2 linked regions of the Sus scrofa genome follow. The protein of the gene in region 1 purifies or fractionates together with the protein of each later gene. This does not show direct contact. Links are inferred from orthologs where the notes say so. Each region holds a gene or a part of one and is shown on either strand. Other genes may lie near its edges. The genes, in order: SLC34A2 and ENDOD1.

Evidence for each region.
Region 2: the proteins of SLC34A2 (region 1) and ENDOD1 purify together in Homo sapiens (co-immunoprecipitation; 3 studies listed by BioGRID and IntAct, counting the BioPlex papers as one, with this or other methods). This does not show direct contact. The link is inferred for Sus scrofa from reciprocal best matches to the Homo sapiens genes SLC34A2 and ENDOD1.

The regions. Positions count from the first base shown.
Region 1 is NC_010450.4:19,497,947-19,501,760, reverse strand, and holds part of SLC34A2 (sodium-dependent phosphate transport protein 2B), read right to left. Parts: intron 3,192-3,814; coding exon 3,080-3,191; intron 362-3,079; coding exon 166-361; intron 1-165. UniProt on the Homo sapiens protein: Involved in actively transporting phosphate into cells via Na(+) cotransport.
Region 2 is NC_010451.4:27,132,688-27,136,601, forward strand, and holds the start of ENDOD1 (endonuclease domain-containing 1 protein), read left to right. Parts: upstream 1-1,351; 5' UTR 1,352-1,420; coding exon 1,421-1,720; intron 1,721-3,914. UniProt on the Homo sapiens protein: May act as a DNase and a RNase. Plays a role in the modulation of innate immune signaling through the cGAS-STING pathway by interacting with RNF26.

The sequences.
Region 1 (3,814 bases):
ATTACTCCGTCCCACTGAGTGTCAATCTCCCTGGGCTTTTCCAGAGGCAGCCGAAGGGGGCAGTTCACAGACCCTCACCCATCTCTTCCATCTCTGCCTGGCTAAGCAGGAATGTGGGGCGGGGGTGGGGGAGTTAGCACCTTTCTCTGAAGGAACCCAGGTTACCTGGACGATGAGCTTCGTGAAGGGATCAGTGATAACTTTCAGAAGTTCTGGGGCATCCTCTCCACTCTTGAAGTGGAAGCTCTCCACCACCGTGCTGGTCAGGCGCTCCAGGTAACCGGTGGCTGCCTCCAGAGGCAAGAGCACCAACACGGAGAGCCAGTTGAAGAAGTCGTGGACAGTGGCCCCTGCAAAAGCCCTGCAGCAAGGGAAGGAACACCACCCCGAGCCAAATCAGTCAACCAGCCAGTGGGCACCAATCACCTAGGCAAGTCGTCACTTGTATCAACTGCCAGGTGTCACCTCTCTGTGTATGTACATGCGTACAATCCTTTCATTCTCACAGCAATCCCCAAAGTGGGTGGTCTTAATATTCCCATTCGGCAGATGGGGAAGCTGAGGGTCAGCAAGCGTGAAGGAATCGAAGACCACTGCATGTGCTCTGGTTCCTGGATCCTGGTTTTCCACTGTCTGGCAGAGTCCCTCCCACCAAAGCTGACAGTCCTTAGTTGGCTCCGCTTGGGAAAAATGGAGCTAGAGGTGGTCTGGCTGCAAGAATTAGCTCATCGAGCACTATTTGAAAAAAAACCTTCAAGACCACTTTTGAATCCACACATATTGAAGACAACCCAACCCTCCTTTTGGAAAGATGGGGGCCAGTCGTTAACCATCAAAGCCTCCTACATAACTGAATTCTTAACTTTAAGATCTTGAGACTTGTTCAAACATTTAAACAGCCTCCACAGGAAACAAAGCTGACATATACCACAATTTTCAACTGAGAAGGTTCAAAGATGCCCCATGAATTCTGTCTTATCTCCAGCTTAAGAAACTCATTTAAAAAATGGCTCAGTTGGAGTTCCCGTCGTGGCGCAGTGGTTAAGGAATCCCGACTAGGAACCATGAGGCTGCGGGTTCGATCCCTGGCCTTGCTCAGTGGGTTAAGGATCCAGTGTTGCCATGAGCTATGGTGTAGGTTGCAGACGAAGCTCGGATCCCGAGTTGCTATGGCTCTGAGGTAGGCTGGCGGCTACAGATCCTATTAGACCCCTAGCCTGGGAACCTCCATATGCTGTGGGAGCAGCCCTAGAAAATGCAAAAAAAAAAAAAAAAAAAAAAAAAAGAAGACCAAAAAAATAATAATAAAATAAAATAAAAATAAAAAATGGCTCAGTGGGTTAAGGATCCAGCGTTGCCATAAGTGGCAACAACATAGCTCACAGACGTGGCTTGGATCCAGTGTTGTTGGGACTGTGGCATAGGCCTGTAGGTGCAGATCTGATTCGACCCCTAGCCTGGGAACTTCCATATGCTGCCAAACCAAAGAGGACACAGAACATGAACAAACAGAAGCAAATAACACATGGGGGAGAAACCCTTGACCTCACTAGTAATAGAAGAAATTTGCAATTTATTTATGTGGAAGCACAAATTTCCACTTACCCTATTAACTAATACGTTACAATGTTAACTTTTTCTTCCTGGAGAGGATGGATTAAGTTTTAGGATTTTTAAGACATTTTCATACACTGCCAACACAAAGTGATACAAATACTTCTTCATAGTTTGGCAAAATATTTAAAGAGCCTTATAGTTGTTTGAGATAGTAATTATTGTTCTAGAAATCTATCTAGGAACAAATTACCTGGATGGAATGATACCTATTTCCCAAGATGTTACTGAAAGCATTGTATTTAAATATCCCAAACAGGGGTGTGTTAGGTCAATTATATTCCTATGTACAAGCACTTTCAAAGATTTTTAAAGGTTGTATTCCACGTATAGTTATTATAAAATATTGGCTATATTCCCTGTATTGTGTAATACATCCTTATAGCTCATTTTACACCCAGTAGTTATACACTTACTCCCCTCCCCCATCCGGCCCTTCCTGCTCCCCTCTCTCCACTGGTAACTGCTCATATCTGTGAGTTTTGCTTCTTTTGTTTTATTCACTAGTTTGTGGTATTTTTCTGTCTCCACACATAAGTGATATCACATAGTATTTGTTTCTGTCTGACTCATTTCACTTAGCATAATGCCCTGCATGTCCACCCATGTTGCTGAAAATGGTGAAAATCTCATTCTTTAAGGCTGGGTATAGATCATATGTATATAGCACATATAACACATGTACCACATCCTCTTTATCCATTGCTCTGGGGATAGATATTTCCATAACTTGGCAATTGTAAATAATGTTGCTCTGAATATCGGAGTGCATGTATCTTTTCAAAGAAGTGTTTTTGGGTTTTGGTTTGTCTTTTTTTTTTTTTTTTGGTTGGGGAGTGCTTCTCTATTTTGACAAACTCTGGAAAAAGCCCAGCACCAGTTAGAAGTGAGCCTGTGAAATGTGCTTAGTTTTCACATTAACATGCTGGAAGAAAAGGGTTCTCTTTGCCTGAATTCACCCCTCTGCGTCCCATTTTCAGATCTCACTCATCCACAATAAAGGCTCCTTTTTGCTTTTTATTGGCATGTGAGTGAAGAACAAAGAAAAAGTGGCATGGGTTGAACCGGCCCCAAATGGAAGCTTTTAGGAGCTTATAATGATTTCTGATTAAGTGAAACTATTCAAACTGGCCTTGTTTTAACTACACCACTCAGTAGGTCAAGCTTCGGGAGGGAGCCGGAGTGTGCAGGGCACCTTGCTAAGAATTTATCTCATGATCGTGTTCATTCCTTTAGACAGCGTGGTGGGTGAGAAATACGTTATCCCGGCTCTGCAGGTTGGGGAGCTTATTTAATCCACGGGTCAAAATGTGATCTCAGTCCCCAGCTGTACCCACCATGGCTTCATCTCACAAGTCTAGGGACAGCGACCCAGCTCCCATTGGCCACTTAACGGCAGTTAGGACAATGTGGTCTTGACACCGATGGGCCTGGTGGTGGCTAAGGCTTCACGTGAGCCTCCTACCTTCTGAACTCATTCCGGTCTCCTGCCTGCAAGAGAGCCACGAGGGTGTTGGTGATGGAGGTTCCGATGTTGGCTCCCATGATGATGGGGATTGCAGAGCGCACGGTCAGCACTGGAGGGAGAAAAGGCTAAGCGAGTTAGCAAGTTTAGGAAGGTCACTTGGCCATGTTTCCGATGTGGCCCAAGGCAAGCTGACATCTTTCGGGCTGGTAATCCACTAAAGCATCAGTTGTTTTTTTTTGTTTTTGTTTTTGTTTTTTTTTTTTTTTTAGGGCCGCACCCAGCAGCACATGGAGGTTCCCAGGCTAGGAGTCAAGTCGCAGCTACAGCTGCCAGTCTACACCACAACCACAGCCACGTGGGATCCGAACCACGTCTTCAACCTGCACCACAGCTCAGGGCAACACCAGCTCCTTAACCCACTGAGCGAGGCCAGGGATGGAACCTGTGTCCTCATGGATGCTAGTCATTTGTTAACTGCTGAGAACAGTTTTGGGAACTCCCTAAAGCATCAATTCTTGACCTCTTTAGGGTCTGCACCTCACTGTGAATCTGACAAAAGCTTGGAAAGCTCATTATAGAAATATGGACACATACAAAAAAAAAATTCCAGTTTATAATTTAGGGAATTCACAGATTCCAGGAAGCCCTTCTGTGGACCCTAGTTTTCAAGCTCCCTCGTATCCCTCTGCTCTCCTGCTGCAGGTGCAAGCCTGGCTTAATGGAGACCAGCAA
Region 2 (3,914 bases), on another chromosome or scaffold:
TGATTCTCTGCCTCCTTCTTTAGCCCCTTTTCTCACAATCCCTTCCCCCAGTTCTCTGTTGTACACACACCCACCTTCCTTAAATTCCTCCAACACATCCTGTACCCTCCTGCTGGGAGACCCCTCGGCACAGGTTGCTTTCCTCTTTGCCTAGATCATGTCATCCTCTTGGTCTCAATTCAGATGCCACTTTTGCAGGCCAGCTTTCCCAGACCATGCCCTGAATCCCTGGAGGGGCAGGTTTCACAGCTCCATGTTAGTGTTTCATTATTCCTTTAATAGCCTGCTTCTTTGATTAACTACAAGCTTTCCCACTAGGCTTAGTCTTTAGACCACAGGGACCCTATTCTTGTTTACCATGGTACTCAGCTGCCTAATCCAGGTTGACACAGAGGTAATGAAGTAATGAATCAACAAAGGTACCAACCCAGGGATGTTCGCTTGTCGTGTTTCTTTCTTGGTTTTGGTTATATTTTATTTATTTATGTACGTATGTATGTACGTATGTATGTATGTATGTATGTCTCTTTAGGGCCACACCTGAAGCATATGGAGGTTCCCAGGATAGGGGTTGAATCCAAGCAGTAGCTGCCCGCCTACCACAACCACAGCAACTGCCAGATCTGAGCCGCCTCTGCGACCAAAACCACAGCTCTCTCGCTAGGACGGTTCCTTAACCCACTGAGCCAGGCCAGGGATCGAACCTGGGTACTCATGGATGCTAGTCAGATTCGTTGCCGCTAAGCCACGATGGGAACTCCGGTTTGGGTTTTAATACTAACCTTCGCACCAAGTAAACCACAGATAGGCTGTACTATCTGCCTAGGTTAGGAATTTCCTGTAACAGGATTTCTTGGATCTCCTGGCTTCAGATGTGCTAAAGCTACATCAAAATTGTGTTCTTATGCCGGCGAATGAGCGTTTTGTCGGGGACCGGGAGACTGCTTTTCACCGGATTTCACAGGAGGTCCCCGCCCATCCGCTCCAAAGAGCCACAGTTCTGTGGTCCTCTCAAGCCGCCCCTTAGCATCCCTGAGTGTCCCTGGGGCGCGCTAGCTCAGGAGGCTATTAGGCTCCCTGCCCCGGGGACCGTCCCTTCCCGTTCCCTTTGAGTAAGCCGACTCAGTTCAGACCTTTCAGCCTCGGGAGGACCGCCCGTTTCCGAGCCTGCGAGCGCGGACCAGGGGCGCAAGGCCGGGTGCAGCCCAGGGGATCTGGTCCGCAGCCGGGTGCCGGAGCCCTGGCCTGCGCGGCCATCTTCAGGAAGGAGGGTGCAAAGGAGGCGCGGCCTCCGGGAGCGGACCGCCCCCGCCGCCGGGGCCGCCCAGCCCGGCCCGCCCAGCGCCGCGCCCGGCTTCCGATTTCCCCGCCGCTCGGCTCGGCGGCCTCGCGCGCTCCCGGTCCGGCCGGCAGACGCGCCATGGGCCCCGCGCGCTGGTTGGCGCTGGGCGGCCTCCTCGCCCTGGCCGGGCTGCTGGAGGGCCGGCTCGTGCGCAAGGAGGAAGCCGGCTTCGGCGAATGCAACCGCTTCTTCTACGCCGGGACCCCGCCCGCGGGGCTGGCGGCCGCTGCCCACGTGAAGATCTGTCAGCGATCCGAGGGCGCCGAGCGCTTCGCCACCTTGTACAGCACCGGGGACCGCATCCCCGTGTACTCGGCGTTCCGCGCCGCGCATCCCGCGCCGCTGGGCGCAGAGCAGCGCTGGCTGGTGGAGCCGCAGGTAAGCGAGGCGCTTCCCGAGCCCGGCCGCTGGGCTGGCCTCCCCGGGGCGCTCTGTGGCCACTGCTAGCGGTAGGGTGGGGAAGGGCAGAAGGGCAGCCCCAGCCCTCGGTGCCAGGTCGGGAAACCGGGTTTCCGATCCGCCCCACCGCGCCCCCGAGTTGCAGCCTGCCTCGCCCTGCGTCAAAGCCACAGCCAGAGCTCGGTGCTGTGCGAGACTTCGCTTAAGTTCCAGGGGTCCGAGGTCCCCAGTGGGAAGGGGTTCTCCCTGCACTTCAGTGTGGACACCTGCAGTGTCTCATTCGTTTCCTGAATCGAGAGGAATATGAGACCGAGACTCAGGAAACCATTCGGATCTTCGGAAAGCCTAGGCTGGGAGCTCAGAGACCTTGGTGCAAGTCGCTGCCGCAATTCTGTGGGAGTGGGTGGGTGGCTGGGCATTTTCATGCCCAGTTTACAGAAGAGGAGATCAAGGCTCAGGGCGGGTGAAGAGACTTGCAGAGAGATGGGCAGGTCTTTTGGCTAGAAGTTCACTGCCTTTCCTAGTAGGAAAACGCTGCCCTTCTGCACAGGCCACCTGAGCCTGAAAAACCTTTCCTTCTGCATGGGACATTGAGTAAATTCGATCTGAAGTTGTGTTGAGTTAGGACAATGGAATGAAGGTGCAGATTTTTAGAAATGCAATGGGATAGTTACAAATAGCAGGGAAACATTGACTACCTCCAACTAAGAGGAAAGACAAACCAGTTTTTCCTGACTCTTCCTATCCACATTATCTGACCACTTAGAAACCGGGTCATGCCTCAGCGTTTTTACTTCTGTCTGGTGAGAGTGACCAAATATTCCAAGAGGCCCCCAGAGACCCTACTGAACCTGTCTTAACACCTCTTGTCACATGTCTACCTCCAGAGACAAGCCTCTTCTCTAGAACACCCAGCCAGGCTGGCTTGCCCCCTAGCTGGGGAAGGAGCTGACTACTCAGTTCACCCGTTCTTGATGGCCATGGCTGCCCAGGGCCGCACCATGAATAGGGGACCAGCTTCCAGCTGTTTCATTCAGAGCCCTGGGTTGTAATTTCTGTCATCACATTCAGTTATCCCTAGCTCAAGGACCTTGACCAGAACTCAAGCCATCTGCACCTGTCTTCGTACCATCTCCACATCCTGTTGCGGTCAGGACCTATAAGGTCGGGTGTAAACTGTGCACACTTAAGGCATATATTAATCTAAAGTTAGTTTGTGCCCGACTCTACCCCTTGAGCTCGAGTTAAATCTAGAAGTACCCCAGCTAGTGGGTACCCGCTGTGTGCCAGGCAATTGGGGTGCTGGAGACAGAGTGTCGTTCTGGGACTCAGAGCCCCCCTGGTCTGCTGGGTGGAAAGGGGGCATCACCTCTGATCAGGGCCACACAGCGTGTGGAATCAGGCCTTAGTTCTTCCATGGACTCACTGTAAATGTGGGCAGGTCAACTTAGAGGTCATAATGGGAATTTTGAGGATTAAGTGAGTTCCTCTATATAAAGTGCTCTCAGGCGTGCCTGGCACATAAGTCCTAGCTGTTATTGTGACATGAGCAAAACACCCTCAGGTTAAAAATGTAAAAAAAGTCCTATGAGATTTCATCTGTCTTGGAGGTGACAGGGGTAAGGCTTCAGGTCAGAGTGACATTTGTGCTGTGCCTAGAAGATGAGGCATGGTGCAGGGAGGAGACAAGGAAGAGGACACCCCCAGCAGAGGGGACATGCTGAGTGAGCACTACGGGGCCGACTCAAGGATTAGTGTGTAGGGAGTGGTTGGAGCAGCTCAACCAGTGCAAGGGAGTAGATGATGGGCTACTCAGAAGATCAGAATTGAGAGGAGTCTTGGAAGGGAGGCGGCAATGTGGAGGAGTGGTCCAGCAGGGCTTGGGGGCATCGGGGCTGACCCCTATATGCAGTTATTGAAGGAGCCCGAAGGAGCATGGCTCATTCTGCAGAGGGGAAGTGGACAGAACCGTCCTGTAGGCAGTGGAGATCCTGGGCCCCAGGGGATGGGGAATGGCACTGGGGAGCTAAAAGAGGGTGGGGAAGGAGCAAGGGGAAGACTTCCGAATGGCAGCTTGAGACGCGAGAGGTGCAGTGGTTTGGAAAAGCACAGGAGGCCAGAGTTCCCCTCTGGGGAGGTAGGAACCCTCCCGTGGCTGAGCACTGCCAGCAGG